Linked DNA regions of Elephas maximus indicus. The protein of the gene in region 3 binds, or shares a complex with, the protein of the main gene of each other region. Links are inferred from orthologs where the notes say so. Each region holds a gene or a part of one and is shown on either strand. Other genes may lie near its edges. The genes, in order: WTAP, METTL3 and RBM15B.

The links.
Region 1: RBM15B (region 3) and WTAP share a complex: the UniProt entries of both Homo sapiens proteins name them as parts of the WMM complex. The link is inferred for Elephas maximus indicus from reciprocal best matches to the Homo sapiens genes RBM15B and WTAP.
Region 2: RBM15B (region 3) and METTL3 share a complex: the UniProt entries of both Homo sapiens proteins name them as parts of the WMM complex. The link is inferred for Elephas maximus indicus from reciprocal best matches to the Homo sapiens genes RBM15B and METTL3.

The regions. Positions count from the first base shown.
Region 1 is NC_064819.1:232,092,986-232,100,531, forward strand, and holds the start of WTAP (pre-mRNA-splicing regulator WTAP), read left to right. Parts: upstream 1-4,516; 5' UTR 4,517-4,547; intron 4,548-4,666; exon of another isoform or gene 4,667-4,766; intron 4,767-4,855; exon of another isoform or gene 4,856-7,546. UniProt on the Homo sapiens protein: Associated component of the WMM complex, a complex that mediates N6-methyladenosine (m6A) methylation of RNAs, a modification that plays a role in the efficiency of mRNA splicing and RNA processing.
Region 2 is NC_064828.1:31,865,224-31,873,052, forward strand, and holds the start of METTL3 (N6-adenosine-methyltransferase catalytic subunit), read right to left. Parts: upstream 3,077-7,829; 5' UTR 2,914-3,076; coding exon 2,814-2,913; intron 1-2,813. UniProt on the Homo sapiens protein: The METTL3-METTL14 heterodimer forms a N6-methyltransferase complex that methylates adenosine residues at the N(6) position of some RNAs and regulates various processes such as the circadian clock, differentiation of embryonic and hematopoietic stem cells, cortical neurogenesis, response to DNA damage, differentiation of T-cells and primary miRNA processing.
Region 3 is NC_064838.1:55,572,002-55,579,388, forward strand, and holds the start of RBM15B (putative RNA-binding protein 15B), read left to right. Parts: upstream 1-4,329; 5' UTR 4,330-6,662; coding exon 6,663-7,387. Other genes in the region: MANF (mesencephalic astrocyte-derived neurotrophic factor), read left to right, coding at 743-827, 1,451-1,578, 2,368-2,509, 3,810-3,994. UniProt on the Homo sapiens protein: RNA-binding protein that acts as a key regulator of N6-methyladenosine (m6A) methylation of RNAs, thereby regulating different processes, such as alternative splicing of mRNAs and X chromosome inactivation mediated by Xist RNA.

The DNA.
Region 1 (7,546 bases), on a different chromosome or scaffold from region 3:
TCTTTTTTTTGAGTTAGAATTTTGTTCTACATTTTTCTCCAGCACTGTCCAAGACCCTCTACGGTGACCCCTGTCAGAGCAGTCAGTGGTGGTAGCCGGGCACCATTAGGTCGTGCTGGGCTCAGTCTGGTGGAGGCTGTGGTAGTTGTGGTCCATTAATCCTTTGGACAAATCTTTCCCTGTGTCTTTGGTTTTCTTCATTCTCCCTTGCTCCGAGACCAGTGGAGTATCTTAGCCGGCCACTCGCAAGTTTTTAAGACCCCAGACGCTCCTCACCAAAGTAGAATGTAGAACATTTTCCTTGTAAATTATGCTATGCCAATTGAGCATTGTTCCCCGAGACCACGGTCCCCACAACCTCAGCCCAGTCATTCGGTCCCTCAGGGAGTTTGGATCTATCTATGGAGCTTCCATGACCTTTAGGCTGAAATCTTTATGGGAGTATTTTGCCAGGTCTTTTCTCCTGCGGAGTAGCTGGTGGGTTTGAACTGCAGACATTTTGGTTAGCAGCTGAGTGCTTAACTCAGGACTTTCAACCGGTTCGTTCTGGTTCACCTCCCTCCTGGGAATTTGCATTTCTAACAAGTTTCCAGGCAGTGGCAGTGCTGCTGGTTAGGGACCAATTCTGAGCACCATACATGAGAATTTATCATACATGAGAATCACCTGGGGACCCTGTTAAACTAGATTGTGATTCAGTCTGTCTGGGGTGGAAATGCAAATTCTGAGCAGGGGTTCAAATCTGAAGGAAGCTGTTCAAAGCCCTGGCTTAACCATTGCACCACCAGAGTTCCTTCCTCCTATCACCCAGTGCCCAGTGCCCTCGACTTACACTAAATTTTATCACATGGTTCCGGTGATGGCCACTAGATGGCTCCACTATACAAGTGTACTTTCCTCTTTATAGTCAAAGGAGTAACCTGTGGGGCAATACTTGGGCGCAACTTGGATATTCTATTTCCCAGCCATTTTTCACCAAAATTTTGATCCATTGGTAATCCTTGCCTAAATCAAATATTTCATTGAGGGCTGCATAATGGTTATTTTCTAATTATATCATTTGTTCTACATTTATTAGCTGGCATCCTATTGTAAAGGGTTTTTTTTCTCATCCACTGGGGATGAACCTAGAGCTTTGAGCCAGTTCCTTCTGGTTCGAACTCCTGCTGAGAACTGCATTTTTAACAAGTTCCCAGATGATGCTAATACTACTGGTTAGAGACAAAAAAAAAAAAAAAACCCATTGCCGTTGAGTTGATTCCGACTCATAGCAACCCTACAGAACAGAGTAGAACTGCTCCATAGTTTCCAAGGAACGCCTAGTGGATTTGAACTGTTGAACCTTTTGGTTAGCAGCCGTAGTTCTTAACCACTACACAACCAGACTTTCCACTAGTAGAACAGTGACTCCCAAATTTTATCATATATAAGAATCACCTGGGGAGCTTGTTAAAGTGTAGATTGTGATTCAGCATATCTGGGGTGGCAAAGGAATTTGCAGCAGGTGTTCAAACCGGTTGAACTAGTTCAAAGCACTGCATGAACCACAGATCTCCAGGTGTTTTAGTTACCTAGTGCTGCTAAAAAATTCCGACTCATGGTGACCCTGTACTGCTGCTACAACAGAAATGTCACAAGTGGATGCCTTTAACAAACAAATTAATTTTCTCACAGTTTAGAAGGGTAGAAGTCTGAATTCAGAATGCTGGCTTTAGGGAGGCTTTCTCTCTCTGCCGGTGCTGGAGGAAGGTCCTGGTCTCTTCTGAGCTTCTGTTCCTAGGCAATCTTCATGTGGCTTGGCATCTCTCTCCCCCCATCTCTGCTGCTCACTTGCTTAATTTCTTTTATATCGCAAACGAGATTGACTCAAGGCACACCTGCCTGAAACAGTCTCAGTTTTAGCATGGAAAGTCCAGCCTCACAGGAAAATCTTTAGTCCTGGGCAAACAGGGACAGCTGGTCACCTGAGTACTTCTAGCCTCTTTCAGTGTACAGAACTAGAAATTTTATTTTTTTAATCATGTGTTCAAATTGATATTTCCAATTTAACATTACGGGACTTTTCTGAACTTTTGACATTGTATCTTTTTTTTCTTGTACTGAAAAAAACCCACCGCCCTGGAGTCAATTTGGACTCATAGTGACCCTATAGGACAGAGTAGAACTGTCCCATAGAGTTTCCAAGGAATGCCTGGCAGATTTAAAGTGCTGAGCTCTTGGTTAGCAGCCATAGTACTTAACCACTACACCACCAGGGTTTCCTCTTGTACTCAAAGTCTTTTTATATAACATTTTATGTTATCACACAACACACAGTTTCAAAGGCACAGTAACAAAATTACAACTACAAACCACTGAGTGAAGCTGAAGATTCCCTTTGCTGTTCTTTTTCACTCTTAGAATATATCCCAGCAAAGACATACTGTGGGAATGCTATGGTCAAAAGTCCTGGGGGGGGGGGGAATCCTTTTCTCTTTGTAACAGTTACCACCAATTTGAAGTTAGGTTCATTTGTTTCAACTAGCTTTCAATTTGGGGGTTTACTTTGTTTCCTGTTTTACTTTTTAACTATGTAAAAATGTTAGAAGTTCAAAGTCAAGAGATGTCTTGCCTCTATCTCTAATCCCTTTACTTCCTACCTCCCCCACCCTCTATAGATAACTTTTTGTTAGTTTCTAGGGTCTCTTTTCAATTTTTTTTTCCTGCAAAATAAAAATGTGTATGTGTGTGTACAAATGCCAGCCAGTTTCCTATTAATGGACACTCAGGTTATTTCCAAACTTTAGCTATGATAAATAGCACTGCGGTGAATGAAACCTAAACCAAACCTGTTGCCTGGGAGTGGATTTAGACTCATGGTGACCTGACACGTTACTGAGCAGAACTGCTCCATAGCATTTTCTTGCCTGTAATCTTAACGAAAATAGATTGCTAAGCCTTTCTTCTGCAGTACTGTTTGGTGGGTCTGAACCACTAACCTTCAGTAGTCCAGCACCAACAATTTGTTGTTTTTATTGGCGGAGATGTATCTTCAAAATAGTCCCTGGGTGTTGTAAAAGGTTAATGCACTCAGCTGCTAATAGAAAGGTTGGAAGTTTATGCCCACCCAGAGGCTCCTGGGGAAAAGGGTGTGGCGATTTAGTTCCGAAAAATCAGCCACTGAGAAAGAACCCTGTGGACCACAGTTCTACTCTGACACACATGGGGTCACCCTGAGTCACAGTGGAGACCACGGCAACTGGACTGGGATCTTCAGGATAACTTTAGGGTTAGAAGTGGAATTGCAATAAGGATAAATGTACATGTACTTCTGGTACTCCACAAAACATGAATCATTTTCCATTCCCAGTTTCTCCACAGACTTGTAACTTTAAGGCATGTGACTTCATGTGCATTTTTATACATGAGGCTGAGCATCCTTTCATGTTTAAAGACCATGGCTGTTCTTTTTCTATGAACTGCCTGTTCATGTCTTTACCCGTTTTTCATTCAGGACTTTGGTCTTTTTCTTTTGTTTTTAAGAGTTCCTGTAATGTAGTTTGAAAATATACTCTCCAGTCTGATCTGATCTGCTGGGAATATACCATGACTCCTTTAACTATCTAGGGTGTACTTTAAACTTAGCCTCATAAGACACTTCATTCCAGGACACCTTCTTCGGGGATCAAGAGTTTTGGTAGAGCCAGCTATGAGCACACCAATCAAAAGAACTGCCTGACCAGTCTTGTGTTTGACTATTTCAAATCTTCCAGGTAACCACCGTTCTAACTAAATAGGCCAGACGCTTAAGGAATATATTTACATTACAATACTTATTTCCTCGGATGCACTAAAACCTCACAGGGCTCGCCTTGCCCTCGTTTCTGAGCTAGCAAGCTGCCCCCAAAGCTGCTGACACCCGCAACAACCTCCGTCGGCTACAGAACAATAGCTCCTCGGCCTCTCCCCCAGGGATGTCAAGGCGGGGACGAACCAAACGGCCACGCGGCTGCATTACACGATGAGAGAAGGGCATCGGTCTCTTACGGCCTCAAAACAGAGCGTGAAGTTTAGCGGTGCCGATTTCCCTGCCGGCGCTCACACAGCTGTCCGCCGGTAGCCTCCCTCCTGAGCCCACACCTGGCCGCTAGCTCGCGGAAGCGTCCCCAAGCGGCGCTGACACCCAAGCCGCGCTGACACCCAAGCGGCCAATCACCGCGCCGCCGGCGCCAGATCCCTCCGCGGAGCTACGCCGCACCCGCAGGTGGCAGCGGTGAGCGCGTCCGCCGCCGCCGCCGCGACCCCCGCCGCCCTTCCCGTGATGCTCCGCGGCTGACCCCCAGCCCCCGCCGCGCCGGCTCCCTCCCCTCCCCGCCCGGACTCCGGCGGCCGCGGGACACCTGATAGAGCCGGACGGGCCGCGAGGGAGAGCTCTGCCGTCGGCGCCTCCAGGCCCAGACTCCGCCGGGGCCGCCGCTCCTCGCCCTTCCTCCCGCCGGCGGGGCGGCGCGGCGCGGCGGGCGGGCGGGCGGGCGGACGGTGCAGCGGCGCCCGGGAGGCAACCTGTGGTGAGCGGCGCGGGCGAACATGGCGGCGCGCGGCCGATGGGGCGGGGCGGGGCGGGCGGCGGGGGCGGGGGCCGGCCGCGCTTCCTCCCTCAGCGCCATTTTGTGGCAGCGAGACCCGCAAATAAAGGGGCGCGCGGGCTGCGGCGGCGGAGGAGCGGCGGGGCCCGGCCGCCGCGGTGCGAGCGCGGCCTCGGCCTGGGCGACGGGCCGCCTGCGGAGGTAGGTGCGGCCGCGGGCGCTGCCGCCGAGCCCGAGGTCGGGGCGCCGGCCTCTCCGCCGCCCGGCTGGGGAGCGGCGCGCAGGCCGGGCAGCTCGGGGCCCGGCCGCTGGACGCCGGCCTCCCTTGGCGCTGCCCACTTGGCGCCCCGAGGCCATTTCCCCGTCCTCGCCGGGGCCCGGGCGCGCGGTCGGCACGGAGCCGGGGCCGCCCTGGTCGGACCTCCCGCCTCCCTCGGCCATTTGTGCCGGGGGAGAACCAGCCTTGGCTCTTGCAGCGCGCATCACGCAGTAGGTCGTGGCTGCAGGGACAAGGTCCGGGAGGGTTCCATTTTTAATGATTGGCATGCATGCTGGGTAAGGAAACAGTTCTTTATTGAATTATTTCGAGATTTTAAGTCTCACCTTGGATTCCCGGAAGAATGTTACTAAAGGATCTTTTTACCATTTTTTATGAGTCAGTGGGGAACATATAGCAGAAAAGCTTAAGTTCTTGTTTTGGTGATAAAGGAAGTTAATTGGATGTTTGATCCCAAAGGAATTATGTTACAATCCGAATTTACCGTGATTATAAAATTAAAAAACGATTATTTCGCCCGAGGTAGAAAAATATTTTGACTAGCATGTTATAATCTCGAGATGTTTTAATACCTGTTTTATTGTTTTCCGTGCTTTAGAATTTAGTTAATTGCATTGCTGAGGAAGCCACTGGTCTATCACCCCCATTAAACTAGGTGCGAAAGTCTTTTTAGGATTGCTAAATTTCATTTATTTAATCGTGTTATTCACTAACATCTGATTAGGCAAGTTGGGGATAGAGATTGCAGCCCACAGCATGGCTTGCCGACAAAGTCGATGCTGAAATTTAAGGTTTGGGTAGGTGTGTTTCTAGAATGCTTTTGGATCTTGCCTTATCTTGAGCTGAAAGCTTAATGATTGGGATTTGCACACACACCTCAGTGGGGGGAGGGGAGCTTGAGTCCTTAAGGACGAAAGTACTAATGCTAGTGTGTCCCAGGCACTGCCGATTTTTACCTGGCTCATCTAATATTTTTTCATCTAATTTATAGAAATCCGTGGTATCTAGCTTTCCTAATTTTGAGTCATGTTTGCTCAAAATACTTCGGTGTTGTGTTGGTCAAAAATGAGTTGGTGTATATGTAGAAAACCTATGGTAATCTGATACTGAGATGAGTTGTAATAATTACATTTTTATAGCACATTACAGCTTTCAAAGTCCCTTACAGTCTTGCATGTATGTAGTATAGCATTTGTTTCAGAATATTGTTTACTTAGTAATCTTCACAATTTTTATAAGACCAAACCCAAACCCATTGCCATCAGGTCGATTTTGACTTGTCCAACTATGTATATTATTATCTTGGAGTCCTGGTGTCACAGTGGTTAAGAACTCAGCTGCTAACCAAAAGGTCGGCAGTTTGAATCCATCAGCCGCTCTTTGGAAACCCTGTGGGGCTGTTGTGCTCCACGCTGTAGGGGCGCTATGAGTGGAAATTGACGTGACAGCAGCAGGCTTGTTTTTGGTTTTTTATGGACCACCTTAAATTTTGTTTGTGGATTCTTTAGCAGAACAAAACCTACCTTTCTTAAATGGACGTTAAAGTTGCCTTTTATGTTTTTATTAGTATTTTTTTTTTTAGAAAAATCCCTTGTTTGCGTAGCATTTTTATGGCATTGCAAGTGTTGAGATTTGTAGCACTTTGTGTGGTAGGTAATATTTGTATCTTCGTTTTAGCTGATGTGGAAACCGTAGCCCAGAGAGGTAAGTGATTTGCTCCAGATCACATGGCTGATAGATACAAGAGTTAGTAAAAGATATCTTCCAGTTCCCAAGTGGTGTCCTTTCTACTACAGTGCCAAGCTCCTGCAGGACATTGGCTTTTTCTGTTCAGTTGTGATAAACTTCAGCCATCTACAGACTTCTTATTGAAGTTGCCTTGGCTGGTCTGCCTTTCTGTTGAGAGAGAAGAGCCAGGGAACTTTTGAGATCTGGGATGCGAGGCAGCCAGCCAACCAAAGCTGGACTCCCATCCTAAGCTGTTTCTTAGTGTTGAGGCATCAGGAGTAGATGGTGGTTCTGACATTCTACACTTGAGGTATATTATATCTGACTAAAATAACAAGCCTTTATGTAATTTTAAAACCATGTTTTAACGAATTATCTTCAGTTGCTCAAAGGTAGGTAAATTGGCTAGCTTTGATTTTTTTTCTGTTTTGCTTTTCTTTACCTCCATTTTCTCTACTTCAGCTAGCTAAATCTAATCATTATTGGGGATAGGCAGAGTGGGAGAGTTATCATCTTCATCGGTTACTTATTTTTTATCGTGGTAAACATATAGGTAACAAAACATTTGCCACTTCAACAGTCTTGGCATGTGCAGTTCAGCGACGTTAAATATGTCCGTTATGTTGTTCAGCCACCGCCATTAACCGCTCCATCAGTTACTAGGTCTTAAGAGGCAGAGTCCTAACCGCCGATTTATTAATGAATAGCTGTTTTAACCTGAGATAATCACCTAATAACTCAATCATTTTATCATCTGGAAAATGGAGGGTAACATTGATTTTGAAAAATTGTAATTGAGACTCATAAGCACTTCATTTTTCATTTCTATATTCTTCATTTTTTCCCTTCAAGATTGAACTCCAGATACCTGTTAGATTAATTTTATTTCATTTCAGTTATTCCATTTTTGTGATCTGAATTCTTTGTTAAAAAGTAAAGCTAGACACCTAGAAGATCCATTGTATTTATGAATCTA
Region 2 (7,829 bases), on a different chromosome or scaffold from region 3:
CCTCTCCTGATGCCTCCAGAGGGAGAGCAACTCTGCTGACACCTTCATTTCAGACCTCCAGCCCCCAGAACGGTAAAAGAATTGCCATACTTTAAAAAAAAAAGCAGTAACTGAGTCATTTGTCTATTCAGGCAGTCCCCAGGTGACAAATGTCCTACTTAAGTACAATCTGTAGTTATGAACCAACACCTGTAAAGACTATTATATTAAAAATTTGAGTTACATACAATGGTTCGTAATAACAAATGGGCGCTACTTTTCGATATGCATCAAAACATTATCATTACTACTGCATTATCATGTTAAAGATGTTTTAATGTAAATGGAAAACCAAAAAAACAAATCCATTGTCACGGAGTCGATTCCGACCATAGCGACCCTACCGGACAGAGCAGAACTGCCCCACAAGGTTTCCAAGGAGCACCTCGTGGATTTGAACTGCTGACCTTTTGGTTAGGAGATGAACTCTTAACCACCACGCCACCAGGGTTTCCATGTATATGGAAGTGTTTCTTTAATGTTTTTATGCGTTGAAAGGTACACTATATACTATATGCTAAGACAAACATTTGACTAACTGACATTAGATACCAACCATACCTAACTGTTCTGACTTTCGTACAAACTCGACTTAAATACAGATTTAGGAGCAGAGCTCGTTCGTAACCTGGGGGCTGCCTGTAAAAGAGATGTAAGAGTCATATTTTCCATATAAAATTGAAGTGCGTAAAATAAAAAGTTCTAAGACAGCACTGAGCTTCTATTAAGGGTAATGGAAAAACTCGGGAATGGTAATGGTCAAACAACATGATGAACATATTTAACGACAGTCAACTATACATGTGAAGACCATTGAAATGGCAAATGCGTTGTTACCTATATATTTACCACACCAAACAAACAAACAAACAAAACAAAGACGGGAATGAAAGAATAAGAAAAAATAGAAAACTGGGCCTACAACAAGTCAAAGGAGTTGAAGTTTATAGATCAAGAAAAAAATTCTTGCTCTTGGGTAAATCAGTACCTACTCCAATGCCTAACTACTATTTATCCTCTGATCATAGGACTTGCACTCCTGCCTCTCCTCGCCCCTCCCTCTTACCTTCTCTTTAATTACCTAAGTCCTATATAGCCTTCAAAGCTGGAAATTCAAGTGCCAACTCCCCCACCATGTCCTTCACTGACTAAACCAGGTCTTGTTACTTCTCCCTTGGCTGTACTCATTCATTCACTTGGTGCTTTACATATATTATATTTCTGACTTTTTATAAGCATCCATCCTTTATCCGCAACTAAAATTTAAACTCCTTGAATGCAGGAAAAACGTCTTATTTTTGTCTAACTAGACTGGTGCACACTGTACTTTCTTGATGTTATTACTTATGAGAATCCTGCCAGAGGATCTTTCAGTTCCAGGTGCCAGAATATGAGCACATGGACCTAACATGCCTCTAGGCAAGATTTAGACAGATTCCCGCATACTAATAAACACTGGAACAAAACACCAGAGATAGAATGGATTCACTATGTTAGTACATCTTCATAAATGATTTACCTTAAATAGTTCAGTGCTTGTGCAGGGGTGGGAGATAGGGTGAAACTTGATAATCTTTTGATGTCCCTTCCAGGTTTATGACTGTGACACAGGGGACAACTAGAGGGTAGAAAGTTTAAAAACCAAAAACAAATGCTTTCAGGTTCTTGTCTGGGATGTAAATAACTGAAGCCCTGGTGGCCTAGTGTTTAAGAGCTAAAGATGCTAACCAAAAGGTCGGTAGTTTGAATCCACCAGCGGCTTCTTGGAAACGCCATGGAGGAGTCCTACTCTGTCCTATAGGGTCGCTAAGAGTCACAATCGACTACGGAAATGACTAAGACAGTGCCAGATCTCCCACTCATTCAGCAACCAAAAAACAACCCGCTGCCATGGAGCTGGTTTCGACTCATAGCTACCCTGTAGGACAGAGTAGAACTGCCCCAGAGGGTTTCATAGGCTGTAATCTTTACAGAAAAGAGCACTGGCTGCGCAGTGGTCAAAGCACTCATCCGCCAACCAAAAGGCTGGAGGTTCAAATCCACCAGCCTCTCTGCGGAACTAAGATCAGCAGTCTGCTTTTATAAGGATTACAGCCTTGGAAACCCGATGGGGCAGTTCTACTCTGCCATAAAGGGTCGCTATGACTCCGAATTGACTCACTGGCAAAGGGTTTGGTTTTCTCAGTAATCTTCACAGAAAGCAAACTGCCACATCTTTTTCCTGCGGTGGGTTCGAACAGCTTATCTTTCGGTTAGCAGCCCAGCGCTTAACCACTGTGCCTCCAGGGCTCCGGCTTATTTAGCAACACCGAGTGCCAACTTGGCGCGGGCCATGAACTGGGCACGGTAGATATAAAGTTCCTTGCTAGCAGTGTCGAGTCGCAAAGAAGTGACGACTACAGCGGGAAGAACAAAGTGCCAAGGAAACACCAGGAAACGGGGCTTGCTGGTCACGATTCGCGGGGTAGGGGCCTGAGAGGTATCCCAAAGGCGAAGTTATCGCAGATGAGAAGTCGACTGGATGGCAGAGGGTGGGGCTCGGGCGTCCGGGAAAAGGGAGCTGAAGGAACCAAGACTCGGGATAGGGAGCGACCGTGAACTACTTGCAGTAGGGCGAAGAGTCTGTGAGCCTGAGGGGAGGGACTTGTCAATGGACTAGGCGGGAAAGAAATGGCGGCTTGGGGAAGGGCGCCGATCTGGGAGCTGTCTTCTTCTTTAGGGGTCCCTCCCGCCCTCCCCGGCGGGGCATCGGCCCCGACAGCCCCGCGCCTCACCCAAGTGCCCCGAGTCCTGCTTCCGCCTCCGCTGCAACCTCTCCCTCAGCGAGTCCAGCTGCTTTTTGTGGGCCTGGATAGAGCTCCACGTGTCCGACATCCTAGTCTCCCAGCGCGGACGCGTCTCGAATCAGGCGCGGTGGACAAGCACCTCCCAGCCCTCTTTTCAGGAAATATTCTATTCCAACGCGGACACCCTAAGGCTCACCGGAAAGGGATTCCCGGAGCTGTGCAAGAAGAAAAAGCCACTTCCGGTTTCGCGCTCGCTTTGAAGCTGAAATTAAAGCCACCTTAGGTGTTGGCAGAGTGGCAGATACAGTGTATATACGTTCTTTGTGGGCGCTTTCTCAGGCTTCCGGGTAAGGTGAAGCCGCGGCTGCCATGTTGGTGGCTGGCAGAGCGACCATGTTGCTTATAGACGTGCATGCATCCATGTTGAATTTTAGATGAGTTCTGCGAGTTGACCTATGTTGATGACAGCTCTATTAGAATTGCACGTGCAATACAGAGTTTTAAAATGAAGAATCACTAGCCTTTTAACAGTTTAGTACTAACATGCCTTTTCCACTCAAAGTGTAGGTTTTTGTCTGCATACATTCATTTATAAAGTAATACCTCTCCCTCTCGTCCTCCATCTCTCTCGCTATCCCTGTATTCGCGCTTTTTGGGGTTGGAGGGGAAGGGCTTGCGGAGCAGAGATGTTATGAGGGGACTACAAATACATATTCTCACTCTTCTCATTTATACCAAATCTGTATCATGTGTAATAGGATTGGTGGCTAACTGAAAGGTTTGAGGTTCACATACACCCAGAGGCATCCTGGAAGAAAGGCTTGGCCATCTACTTCGAAAAATCAGCCACTGAAAACCCTATGGAGCTCAGTTCTACTCTGACACACATGGGGTCACCGTGAGTCTAAATTGACTAGATGGCAACTGGGTTCTGGGTTTAGGGGAGATTCTGAGTTTCTGATTACTTGTTTCTTATTCTGGGACCTGGTGGTTGCATGAGTGTGTTCAGTTTGTGAAAATTAATTGAATTGGACATTTTGGTACGTGCTTTTCTGTTTGCATCCAAAAAACCAAAAACCAAACCCAGTGCCGTCGAGTCGTTTCCGACTTATAGCGACCCTATAGGACAGAGTAGAACTGCCCCATAGAGTTTCCAAGGAGCACCTGGCAGATTCGAACTGTCGACCCTTTGGTTAGCAGCCTTAGCTCTTAACCACTATGCCACCAGGGTTTCCTCCGTTTGCTAGTAAACTTAAATGCAATTAAAAAAAAAGGGGGGGGGGTCTTCTGAATTGAAATATTTGTAAAATGCCTACATGATGCCAAACACTGTGTCTGAAAAATAGTTTGAAAAGCATCGCTCCTGTTTTCAAAGACTTTCTGGTTTAGTAAGGGAGTTAAGACTCAGCATAGGCAGCATGAGCAAAGGCTCTACAAGAGAAAAGTGATCGCAAAGAAAAGGGAGGACTCAAAGCTCAGATTACTGGGGAAATCATTAGAAAGAAGGTGGCATCAAGGTTCAGATTTGAACTGACAATAGGAGAGAATTCCAAGCCAAAGACGTGATAAAAACAGAAGTCTAGACTAGTGTTAGAAAACATGATGTATGTTCTGCTAATCCAGATTAGTTCAGTAGAACATTGAGATTTATATATAGGAATATTAAGAGGAAATGTAGGTTTCCAAATTGGAGGCCAGATTGCAGAAAACCCTGCAGTTTATTCAGAATACAATAGGGAACATTTAGAGTTTGTCAATAAGGAGTGCTTTAAAATAATCTTGTGTTCTTGATGGATTGAGGCAGGGAGGACAGAGAGTTTGGAGAGAGAGTGTTATGGACTGAATTGTGTCCCCTAAAATATATATTGAAGCCCTGCTTGGCTGTACCTATGGATGTGATCCTGCTTGGAAATAAGGTTTTCTTTTATTACGTTAATGAGATCATACCAGAGTAGGGTAGGTCCTAAATCTAATCATTTCTGAATTATAAAAAGAGCAGAGTAGACAAAGAAACACACACGGGGAAGATAGATGCCAAGGAACATCAAGGAATGTCAAGGAATGCTCGCAGACGCTAGAAACTAGGAGAGAGGCTCACAAAAGAAATCAACATGGCCAAGAGCTGATTTGCACTTTAGGCCTCCAGAACTGTGAAAAAATAAATGTTCTTTAAAGCTACCCACTTGTGGTATTTCTGTTATGGTAGCACTAGGTAACTAAGACACAGGGAAAATGGTTAGTAGCCTTTAGGACTAATTGCTTGATTATAAGACCTTCAACTTACTCAAAGGCTGGCTATGGGTAGCAACGGAAAGGAAGAGGTGAATATGAAGGAGGGCTATTGAGAAGATGTGTGTGTACTGGAATGTGAAGTCCTATCCATTTATATGGCAAGTATTTATTGAATGACTACTATGTGCTAGGTAATGTACAGATTAAGTAGTGATCAAAATATTTCCATCTCCTTTTCTGAATTTACTTAGTAGGGAACTGTCTTTTGAGGTGCATAACTTTGTGTCTGAGCAGTGAGGTAGAGGTCACAGAAGTAAATATGGGCTCCTATAAACATCTCTGGACATTTAATCCTCAGGTTTAGTTAATCCTGAAAGCGAAATACTCTTGTGAGAGTTGGCTGTTGTGAGATCATGCAAGATTACTCAAGCCGACTGCTCTACCCAGGGGTTTTGCTTCCTTTAATGACTTGGGGCTGGTAATTGTCTACAGGAAAGTTGACAAAGACCTCTTTTTGCTTTTGTTCTTTCATTGGGTGTATCCTTGCATATTTTTTGTGCTCCTATGTTAGACACGTATTATTACTAAAGTGAGGTAATCCCAACTGTTAATTGTTCACAAAACTGAATTCCTTACTTGTTAGATCACTTTCTTTCAAGGCTGTTAACACATGTGAAATGAAATATATAGAAAATATATAGCGGTTAGGTTTAGTCTTGGGGGAAAGAGAACTGGATATGGCCTCACAGAAGATGAAGGGGGTTGATTCACTTTAAAAACAGGATTCCAGAAGTTAACTCCCAAACATTATAAGCACTTTTTGTCTAGGAAAGGGAGGATTTTTCCTGGGAGAGACTCAATTTCTTGTAGAATTTGGGATACCTAGGCCTAAATTGTCTCCTCTTACCTGCAAAAGAAGCCAAAGAAGTAGGACAGGTACTCCAAATTGAGGTCAACCAAATCAAGGGCAGCTACCAGAAGTCTTTGTTTACACACTCATTGAGTAAATTATTACCCCAGTGGCACACTGCTAACCGAAAGGTCAGGGTACAAACCCACCAGCTGCTCCTTGGAGAAAGATGTCGCAGTTTGCTTCCGTAAACACTTATATAGCCTTGGAAACCCTATGGGGCAGTTCTACTCTGTCCTATAGGGTCACTATGAGTCAGAATCTACTCACAGCAGTGGGTATTACCACAGTAAATTAGGCAAATTTTAGGAGCCTAGGAGGGTCACTTAGCATTATCTGCTTACAGAGGGACTCTTTATAGACTCCTTATGATCAGTTTTCCACTCTAAAGAAAGCCAGGTGTTTGTGTGCTCACCAGTAGCCCACCCACTTACAATCCCGTGCAATGTTGAGAGAAAGGAGGGAACCTCACCCAGACCTCTTCTAGTCAGAGTGGAAGCTTGGTTGTGACCATATAAGTACTACATGCATTGCACTTCTTACCTTTTTCTCATATATGTTACGGTAGATTGTTTCCAAAGCTAGCCACATAATGCCTCCCATTCCTTAAGCAGTGAGACTTTGCCATGCTTCCCATCAGGAGTTAAAGCTTAGTTCCCCTCCTTTTGAATCTGAAATGGCATTGTGACTAGCCTTGGCCAACAAACTGGCAGAAGTGATATTCCCTGAGCTCCAGAGCCTGGGCCTTAAGAGGCATTTCAGCTTCCGCTTTTCCCTCTTGTAGCCCTAACTCTTCCCGGGAGTCCAGTTAGATAGACCTAATTAGTCCTGATAGATAGACCGCTTAAGGGATGCTGGAGGTTGACACAGCAAAAGAGAGAGGTTCCAGCATCCCAGCTGAGGGTCCAGAAGTGAGTGAGGCCATCTTTAATCTTCTAGCCCAAATTGCAGCTGCCTGAGTGAGCCCAGCCCTCACATGGAATGGAGACAAGCCAACCTAGCTGAGCCCTGTCCAGACAGCTCATGGAATCATAAGCAAATACATAATTATTGTTTAAGATACTAAATTTCGGGATGGTATGCTACACAGCATTGGATTACAGAAATGCCCACCCAAACCCACTGCCGTCAAGTCAATTCCAACTCAGTCAGAGTAGAACTGCCCCATAGAGTTTCCAGGGAGCACCTGGCAGATTTGAACTGTCGACTTCTTGGTTAGCAGCTGTAGCACTTAACCACCACACCATCAGGGTTTCCGAATACTACTGACCAAATACTACACTTCTATTGCTGTACTTTTTTTTTCCTTCTTCTTGTCCATACTGTTTACTATTTGATTGGCAGCAAAATTTCACTAGGATTAGTCAATCTACTATTATTAAGCTAAAGGTTAGAAAAGACAAAAAAATGTAAAACCAAGTCAAAGTTGAGTCTAACTGAAAGTAAAACTAGTTTCGTGTGTTTTGGGATCCTATCATCATTTAAAAAATATATTTTCTCTCCTTCTACACTGAGTTCCCCAAGGGACAGAAGTGTGTCTTATTTACCTTTATACCCAATAAACACCTGGTCTCCGAAGCAAAGCAAATCCTCAAAAATTGACTGAATGAGTGAAGAAGCTGTCTCTTGCTTCTTATAATAGTGATGCTTTTATTAATCCAGGTTGAAGTGGACTGTGTTTATTTCACATAAAGTAAGCGTTTTGCAAGCTGCATTTACATACTCATTCCAGTAGATTAATATACCTTCTAAAAAGATGACCTAATAAAGAGTAATTGACTGAGAAATGGTGGGGCTAGGGTAGGTTGCAAGACAGAAGAAATGAAAAGCTCTAAGAAGAATAAATCAAGGGCAAAGAGAGA
Region 3 (7,387 bases):
GCTCAAGGACGGCAGCCCGGAGGTTAGCGAGTCCACAGCCCTCTCGAGCGGAGGTCCTCCCGCAGAAGAAGGTCTCTTTCGGCCATGCAAGGAGGGCCCAGGTCACCCGGGCGTAAAGCAGGTGGAACCCTGAGGCTGGTGGGGAAATCCGGAAATGGCTCAGGTGTTTGATCCCCCCCCTCTGCCCCCCAGCTGCTACTCAAAGGCTGATTCCTCCGCTCACGTGCTTGTTTAAAAAAAAGGAACGAAGCCTATTGAGCCTTCCGTGAGTCTGGGCCCTGGGCGAGGAAATTCCCGAAGTTTTTAGGGCGAGGTTAGAGCCCAGGGCAGAGCCCAATTCAGCATGCACTGGGCGGCACAAAATCCCACTTCCGCCCGGAACGCCCGGTTGCCGGTAAGGCCACTGCCCCTGTCCAAAATGGCGGCTCATCCCACTTCCGCCGCCTCCGCCGCTGCTTCCTGCGGAAGACCCTGGTTCAATCAGCGGCGGACAACTGTCTTGGGCCTAGGGCGGGCGGCGCTGCCAACCAATGGGGAAGGGTAGCGTGGAGCCGACCGTCTGGGCTCCGAGGCCCTTGGGCCAATGGGAGCGCGGCGTGTGGGAGGGCGCGATGGCCACCCACCAATGGGGAGCCGCGGCGCGCGGCCGGGACCTGGAGGCGGTGCAGCGCAGCGCAGCGCAGCGCAGCGGGCGCGGTTAGTCGGGCAGCGGCGGCGGCAGTGGTGGCAACGAAGGCGGAGGATGTGGGCCACGCACGGGCTGGCGGTGGCGCTGGCTCTGAGCGTGCTGCCGGGCAGCGGGGCGCTGCGGCCCGGAGACTGCGAAGGTGCGGCGGGGTCGAGTCCGCGCGGCGTGTCCAGCCTAGCGGCGGCCCCGACACCAACAAGACCATTGAAGGGGCGGGGGCGGCCGATCCCTGCGAGGTCCACCCGAGGAGGGGCAGACACTCCCGGGCCTACAGAACATTGATTGGTCCGACGGCCAAAAGTTGGGACTAGATAGCCCTGAAAACTTGGCTTGAAATTCCAATAACGCTGGAGTTCTTGTCCTTCCCATCACTGGTCAGATGCTCTCGGGAGCGGCTACTCCCGAGTCGGGGCCCCGTGAGTTGGGGTCAGGAAGCTGCACTACGGGGTTCGGTGTTGTATTTGGAAATAAGATGCATCAAGATCGTTTTTCTTCTTGGCCTCCAGCCTGTCCGTTTATGAGGTCATAGATCGTTTGTGGGTCATTGGGATGGTGATCGTACCCCACATGCCCCAGGTGGATCAGGGAACCCCAGCAACTTCGAGCCGGACTCTGTCCACCTGAGAAAACTCGGTGATAGAAACACGAACCTCTAGTGATTCATCTCCGTGCCTCCCATTAGAATTGCTGACAGTTACTTGTTGGTGGATGGGGGTGCCCTTGGTGGTTGCTGAGCATCTCCCTTCCCTTTTTTTTTTCCAGTTTGCATTTCTTATCTGGGAAGATTTTACCAGGATCTGAAAAACAAAGATGTTGCATTTTCACCAGCCACTATTGAAAAAGAACTTATCAGTTTCTGCCGTGAAGCAAGAGGGAAAGAAAACCGATTGGTGAGTAGCTGGTGACCCTCCCAAGCTGGTCCTGGCCCCTGTTTAACCCTTGGCTTCACAGGCCTCTTGAGAAGGCCCCACCCACCTGTGTGCTAGGAGAGCTGTCTGTCAGAACACAGAACCCAAGCACTTTCTGAAGTGTATTCTGCCGTTGAGATATCTTCTCCTCTTAGTATTTACTGAGCACCCACTATGTGCTGGTCACTGAGATTACTGGGGGAGAGATGACAGTTGGACAGACAAACAATGACTGGGCTGGATGCCATGAAGAGAATGGACCCAGGTGGTACAGTGGAGGGGGTGGTACTGATTTAAACAGAGTGGTCAAGAAGTAGCTCTCTGAGGAAGGCTCATCATTGAAGTTGGGGAAGAGCATCTCAGGCAGAGGGAACAGTCATTGCCAGTGCCCAGAGGCCAGAATGGGCTTACCATGTGTGAGGATGGAAGGAGAAGGTAATGAGGTGTAAACAGGGTCAGCCAGGCCCAAACTGAGAGCAAGGGCCCCTAGTGAAGCAGTGGCTTTTGTAGCTTTATTTACTTATTTATTTTTGGGTAGCATGTGGTTTGTCTGTTAAAAAGTTTGAACCCTGGTGACTTTTAAGCTCATCCGGTGGCCATCAGGTCTGGGACCAAACAGGTGTTAAGAGTCTGGAGTTTATACTGGCTTGCATCTGAGTGCCAGTGCAGGCAGGCACCAGGAAATGAGGCCCTGGCAGAGAAGGAAAATGTTCTGGAGGAGATGGCTCTCATGTGACATCTCCTGAAGGCTGTTGTCCTTTCTTGCTGCAGTGTTACTACATAGGGGCAACGGATGATGCAGCCACCAAGATCATCAATGAGGTGTCTAAGCCCCTAGCCCACCACATCCCTGTGGAGAAGATCTGTGAGAAGCTCAAGAAGAAAGACAGCCAGATCTGCGAGCTGAAGTATGGTGAGTGCTTTCCCGGCCTTATTTAACAAACACTGCACAGCTTCTGCAGCCAGGTCTCGTTGAGTTACTTTGTAGTTGAGGGGGCACATCATAAACTAGAGCCATGGTGAGTGGGTTATACGGTATGGTAAACATGTAAACCAGCTGCCATCGAGTTGACCCGACTCATGGCAATCTCATGTGTGTCAGAGTAGAACTGCGTTCTAGGGTTTTCAGTGGCTTGTTTTTCAGAAGTAGATCACCAGGCCTTTCTTCCAGTGCACCTCTAGGTAGACTCAAACCTTCAGCCTTTCAGTTAGCAGCCGAGCGTGTTAACCGTTTGTACCACCATAAAAAAAAACATAGATGGTGCTAAATGCTGGGGGAGGGAGGTGATCTGTTCATCACAGCAGGATGTCAGTGAGGAGGTGACATTTCGGCAAAGCTCTGAAGGAGGTGTGGGATTAGCATGAGGCTAGTTAGCGGATCAAAGTGGGGTGACAGATGAGTGAGCAGGTCTGAAAGGATTTGGGCTTCAAGTCTGAGTGAAGTAGGGACCATTAGAGATTTTTGATCAGAGAAGGAACATGAGCTGAAGACCCATTGTTCTTGTCCACACAGGCATGGCAAGCCCAAGAGTGGGGGAACCACAGCATCTCTTGTTGAGTCAGTCTGGTTGCACAAACATAGCCAGGCCTGTGTTTGAGTATGAAAGAGTCAGAGCCAAGGATAGTTGTCCTCTTCTGTGACGGCGCCAACATATTTTATTATGACTTGAACGTCCATGGGTCTGTGTTTACCTGCTTGTGTCAGGGATGCCTGGTCCTGAGAGTCATCCTGGTAGAGGTCCATCTGGGTCGTGGACACAGCAGTCATGGAGAATAGCTCCTGCCTCAAGGGCCTAACCAGACTGATGTTGGGAAATCAGGGCTAGGAGAGCTACCTGCTCCATCATAGCTTGGTACTGCCATTCTGCAGAGACTTGATCTCTCCTGTGACTGTGAGAGGCACTTGGGGTGGGAGCCGTGCTCCTCCTGTAAGGACCGTGTAGCCTCCATCCCTGTCCCTGGCAACACTGCGTGTCTGGTGGACGCTGCGACATGAGGCCAGCCTTCCTGATGAAGGGGCCTGAGCCTCTTCTCTCAGGGGCAGTGGGCACTGACACACCTGTATGTGTCTGGGAATCTCTCTCCCCCTACAAACCAGGAGGGCCGCATGTTCTAAGGGATAGGTTGGCCTTGCAGGAATGACCTGACCTGGGACTACTGTGGGGTAGTGGCCACTCTCACCAGCCGGTCACTCTCCCTGCTCTCTCCTCCAGACAAGCAGATCGACCTGAGCACAGCGGACCTGAAGAAGCTCCGAGTTAAAGAGCTGAAAAAGATCCTGGACGACTGGGGGGAGACGTGCAAAGGCTGTGCAGAAAAGTCCGACTATATCCGGAAGATTAACGAACTAATGCCTAAATACGCCCCCAAGGCAGCCAGTTCACGGACTGATTTGTAGTCTGCCTGACCCCTGCTGCACTGGAGGGGAGAAAAAAACAGTTCCTCTGTCTCTTCCCAAGCAGCCTTTTTGTAATTTATTTTTTAATCGGGCTCCTGACAATGTCAGGTATGAAGCCTGGAGCTTTCCTGATGATGCTGGCTCGACAGCACCCCTGTGGGGGGATTCACTTCATTCTGTTGCTGGTTTACTCTAGGACTTGAAAGTGTGTCTGGGATTTTTTTATTAAAGGAAAAAAATTTCTAGTTCTTGGAGAATTAACGCGAATATTGAAGTAGGGCTTCACTCCATAATGAGGACCTCGCCAGCAGATGCTTTCCAGTTTGCCAAAAATTTTCTAATATATTCCCACCTGTTCCTCAACCACTAACCAGTGTTGGAAGCACCAAGGCAGGACATGGGCTGAGGCCAGCTGACATGTGTTGGGTCTTGAAGGACTGGAGGGTAGCAGGCCCCCTCCCAGCTAAATGGAGCCTGGGGAGGAGGCTGGGCTTGGCACCCCACCTCCCAGTGTTTTACCCAATGAGAGGGGCTGGAGGCTGCACAGCTGTTGCTGGGAGGGTGCGGGAGTGGGGAGGGGAGAAATGAGTGTGATGAACATAGGAGGGGGTTTGCATTGGGTTCAGTATGAGCAGGCTGGAGGGTACTTGGAGTTTGGTTTTCTCTGATGGTGACTTCGAACGCCGTCTATTCAGTACTGACATTCCTAAAGGTACTCTTGGGCTGGCCACGAACGTGCTTGTCCGGGTCTGTGGTCTGGTGCCAGTTCCAAGCCTCTGATGCCTAACTGGGATTTTGCAAGACCTGCGGAGATTGATTTGAACAGAGGCAGTGGGCAGCTGCCTTTTGCCTTGTTTAACAGTTGAGATTCTGAGGACTTGCCCTCATGGTGTCCCCTGGAGTATGGTTTTTTAGCTGCTGTCTGTGTGGGGTTGGCACTTAGGAAACCCAGCTGCCAGCATGAGCTTGGCTCAGTGGAGGCACCTCTGCTGCTGTAGAGAATGCCTGAAGAGAGAATAAGAAGCAGTGCTTTCCAAGAAATGAGGTCTTTGGTGTCTAAGTTCAGTTTGCTTGAAGGGTGCTTCTTACTGCTTGGCAGTACACCTCCCACATTTTGTAGCTCTGCAATGGCACATGTGAGAGGAAGGGAAAGTTAAGGCACTTCTCAGGGCCCAGATCCCCCTGTTTGGGGGAATTACATGGGCTGTTGAGGTCTGACTAGCACAGTAAGTGTCCCCAGCCCCCCAGAGGTGCTGGGAAAGTGTGGCTGTAGCTGGTGGACTTGTCTTAGGCCACCACCCCAGATCTGATGTGTGCCTGCAGCCTCCGTGTCCTCCAGGCCACACTGAATATGGGAACAGAAAACGGAGCCTCACAGGCCCCAGGGTTATTTGTGGAGAATGTTGGTGTCGCTCTTTTTGGAAGCAGGTATTAAGAGACTATGCACCACTAAAGGTGTCCTGCTCCTACCCCCATCCCCTACTTTCCCCATCAGCCACTCCAGAGGCTGCTTTCTGGTTGGGAAAGAGGGAAAGCCTGAAGTGCAAGTTTCCTCATACCACAGTTTCTGTGGCTGAGGCTGCGTCAGGTTCAGCGATAGCTCCAGCAACAATTCCTGGAGAATGAAAGCTTTCCCAATGGGCTTGGGCACAAGGGAAGGAAAAGAGGCTCTGCCCTACAAGGTGGACAGGAGGGCACGGGCCAGGTGAAGTCAGGACAGAAGGCTCTGCCAAGTGCTGGAACTCCCTGCAGGTTTGGCGAGGCTCCTGTTTTTAGGCTCAGGGTAGCCTTGCCTTTTTAGCTCTTTGTCTGCCGGGAGGCCCAAAGCAAAGGGTGGGGCCCAGTGACGCCAAAGAGTTTATTTCGATCAGTGAAACGAAGGTTTGTGGGTCTGTGGTTTCTATGCCTGAACTCAAGACCGGCCTTGCCTCCTGCAGCCACAGCCATGGGCCACATGACCATTCCTGAAAGCGCTGCAGGTGAACCTGAGTGCGCAGGATGTAGGCTGTGGGCTCCTTCTGGGTAAGGGTATGCGTCAGCCCTCGGGCTGTCAACCTGGACACCTGGGTGGGCAGAAGTCACCGTGACGGGGATTAGGGGCGGCCTTTTTTTCAAGCCTAGTCCCGGAATTCGGGACCACCACGTAAAGAGTCTGCTAGGTCAAGGCCCCGGAATCCAGCACCCACGGAGGCTGCCACTCATGCTCCAATCAGCGCCGGCGACAGGAGACCAGACCCGGCGCGACATGTGAGGCCGACGTCCGGCCGGATTCTCTGGGACTCAAGGCGGAGCGAGTCAGCCCGACTGTCTCCACGGCTCTGATCGCTCTAGGTAGCCCCAGTCTCGGCCGCGTGGTGGCGCCAGAGCGCGCTCCTGGACCCCGCTTACCCACTGGCCGCGGGGGTCACGTGGTACAGACGACGTCGCCTGATGACGCACGCCCGGCGCGGCTTCCTCCCCGCCCGCCATGAGGTCACGTGACGCTGCCGGCGCGGCCTGATAACGCAACGTCCAGCCCCTCGGTGCCTCTCCCGCCCCGCCCCGCCGCCACCGCCGCAGCGAGTCCTTTTGTCCAAGATGGCGGCGCCGGGGGCGCTTCCTCCTCAGCCTCCGCCGCCGCCGCTGTGAAGGGGCTGCGGGCCGCCCGCCCGCCTGCAGCGCCAGCGCCATGAAGCGGCAGAGCGAGCGAGACTCGAGCCCGAGCGGGCGCGGCTCGTCATCGTCGGCCAAGCGACCGCGGGAGCGCGAGCGGGAAGCGGAGGCGGGCGGGCGGCGGGCGGCGCACAAGGCCTCGGGCGGCGCCAAGCACCCCGTTCCGGCGCGGGCCCGCGACAAGCCCCGCGGCAGCGGCGGCGGAGGGGGCGGACATCGCGACGGCCGCGGCGCGGGGGACGTGAATCACCGTGCGAGCAGCGGCCGCTCCTCCAGCTCGGGCGCCGGCGGCGGGGGGCGCGGCGGCAAGGCCTCCGGGGACCCGGGAGCCTCGGGCGCGTCACCCCGCGCGTCCCCGCTGCCACCGCCTCCGCCACCGCCTGGAGCGGAGCCTGCGGGCCCCGGCTCGTCGGCGGCCGCGCCCGAGTACAAGACGCTACTCATCAGCAGCCTGAGTCCCGCGCTGCCCGCCGAGCACCTCGAGGACCGGCTCTTCCATCAGTTCAAGCGCTTCGGCGAGATCAGCCTGCGCCTGTCGCACACGCCCGAGCTGGGCCGTGTGGCTTACGTGAACTTCCGGCACCCACAGGACGCCCGCGAGGCCCGCCAGCACGCCCTGGCCCGCCAGTTGCTGCTCTACGACCGCCCGCTCAAGGTGGAGCCCGTGTACCTTCGCGGCGGCGGCGGTGGGAGCAGCCGGCGAAGCAGCAGCAGCAGCGCCGCTGCCTCCACGCCGCCCCC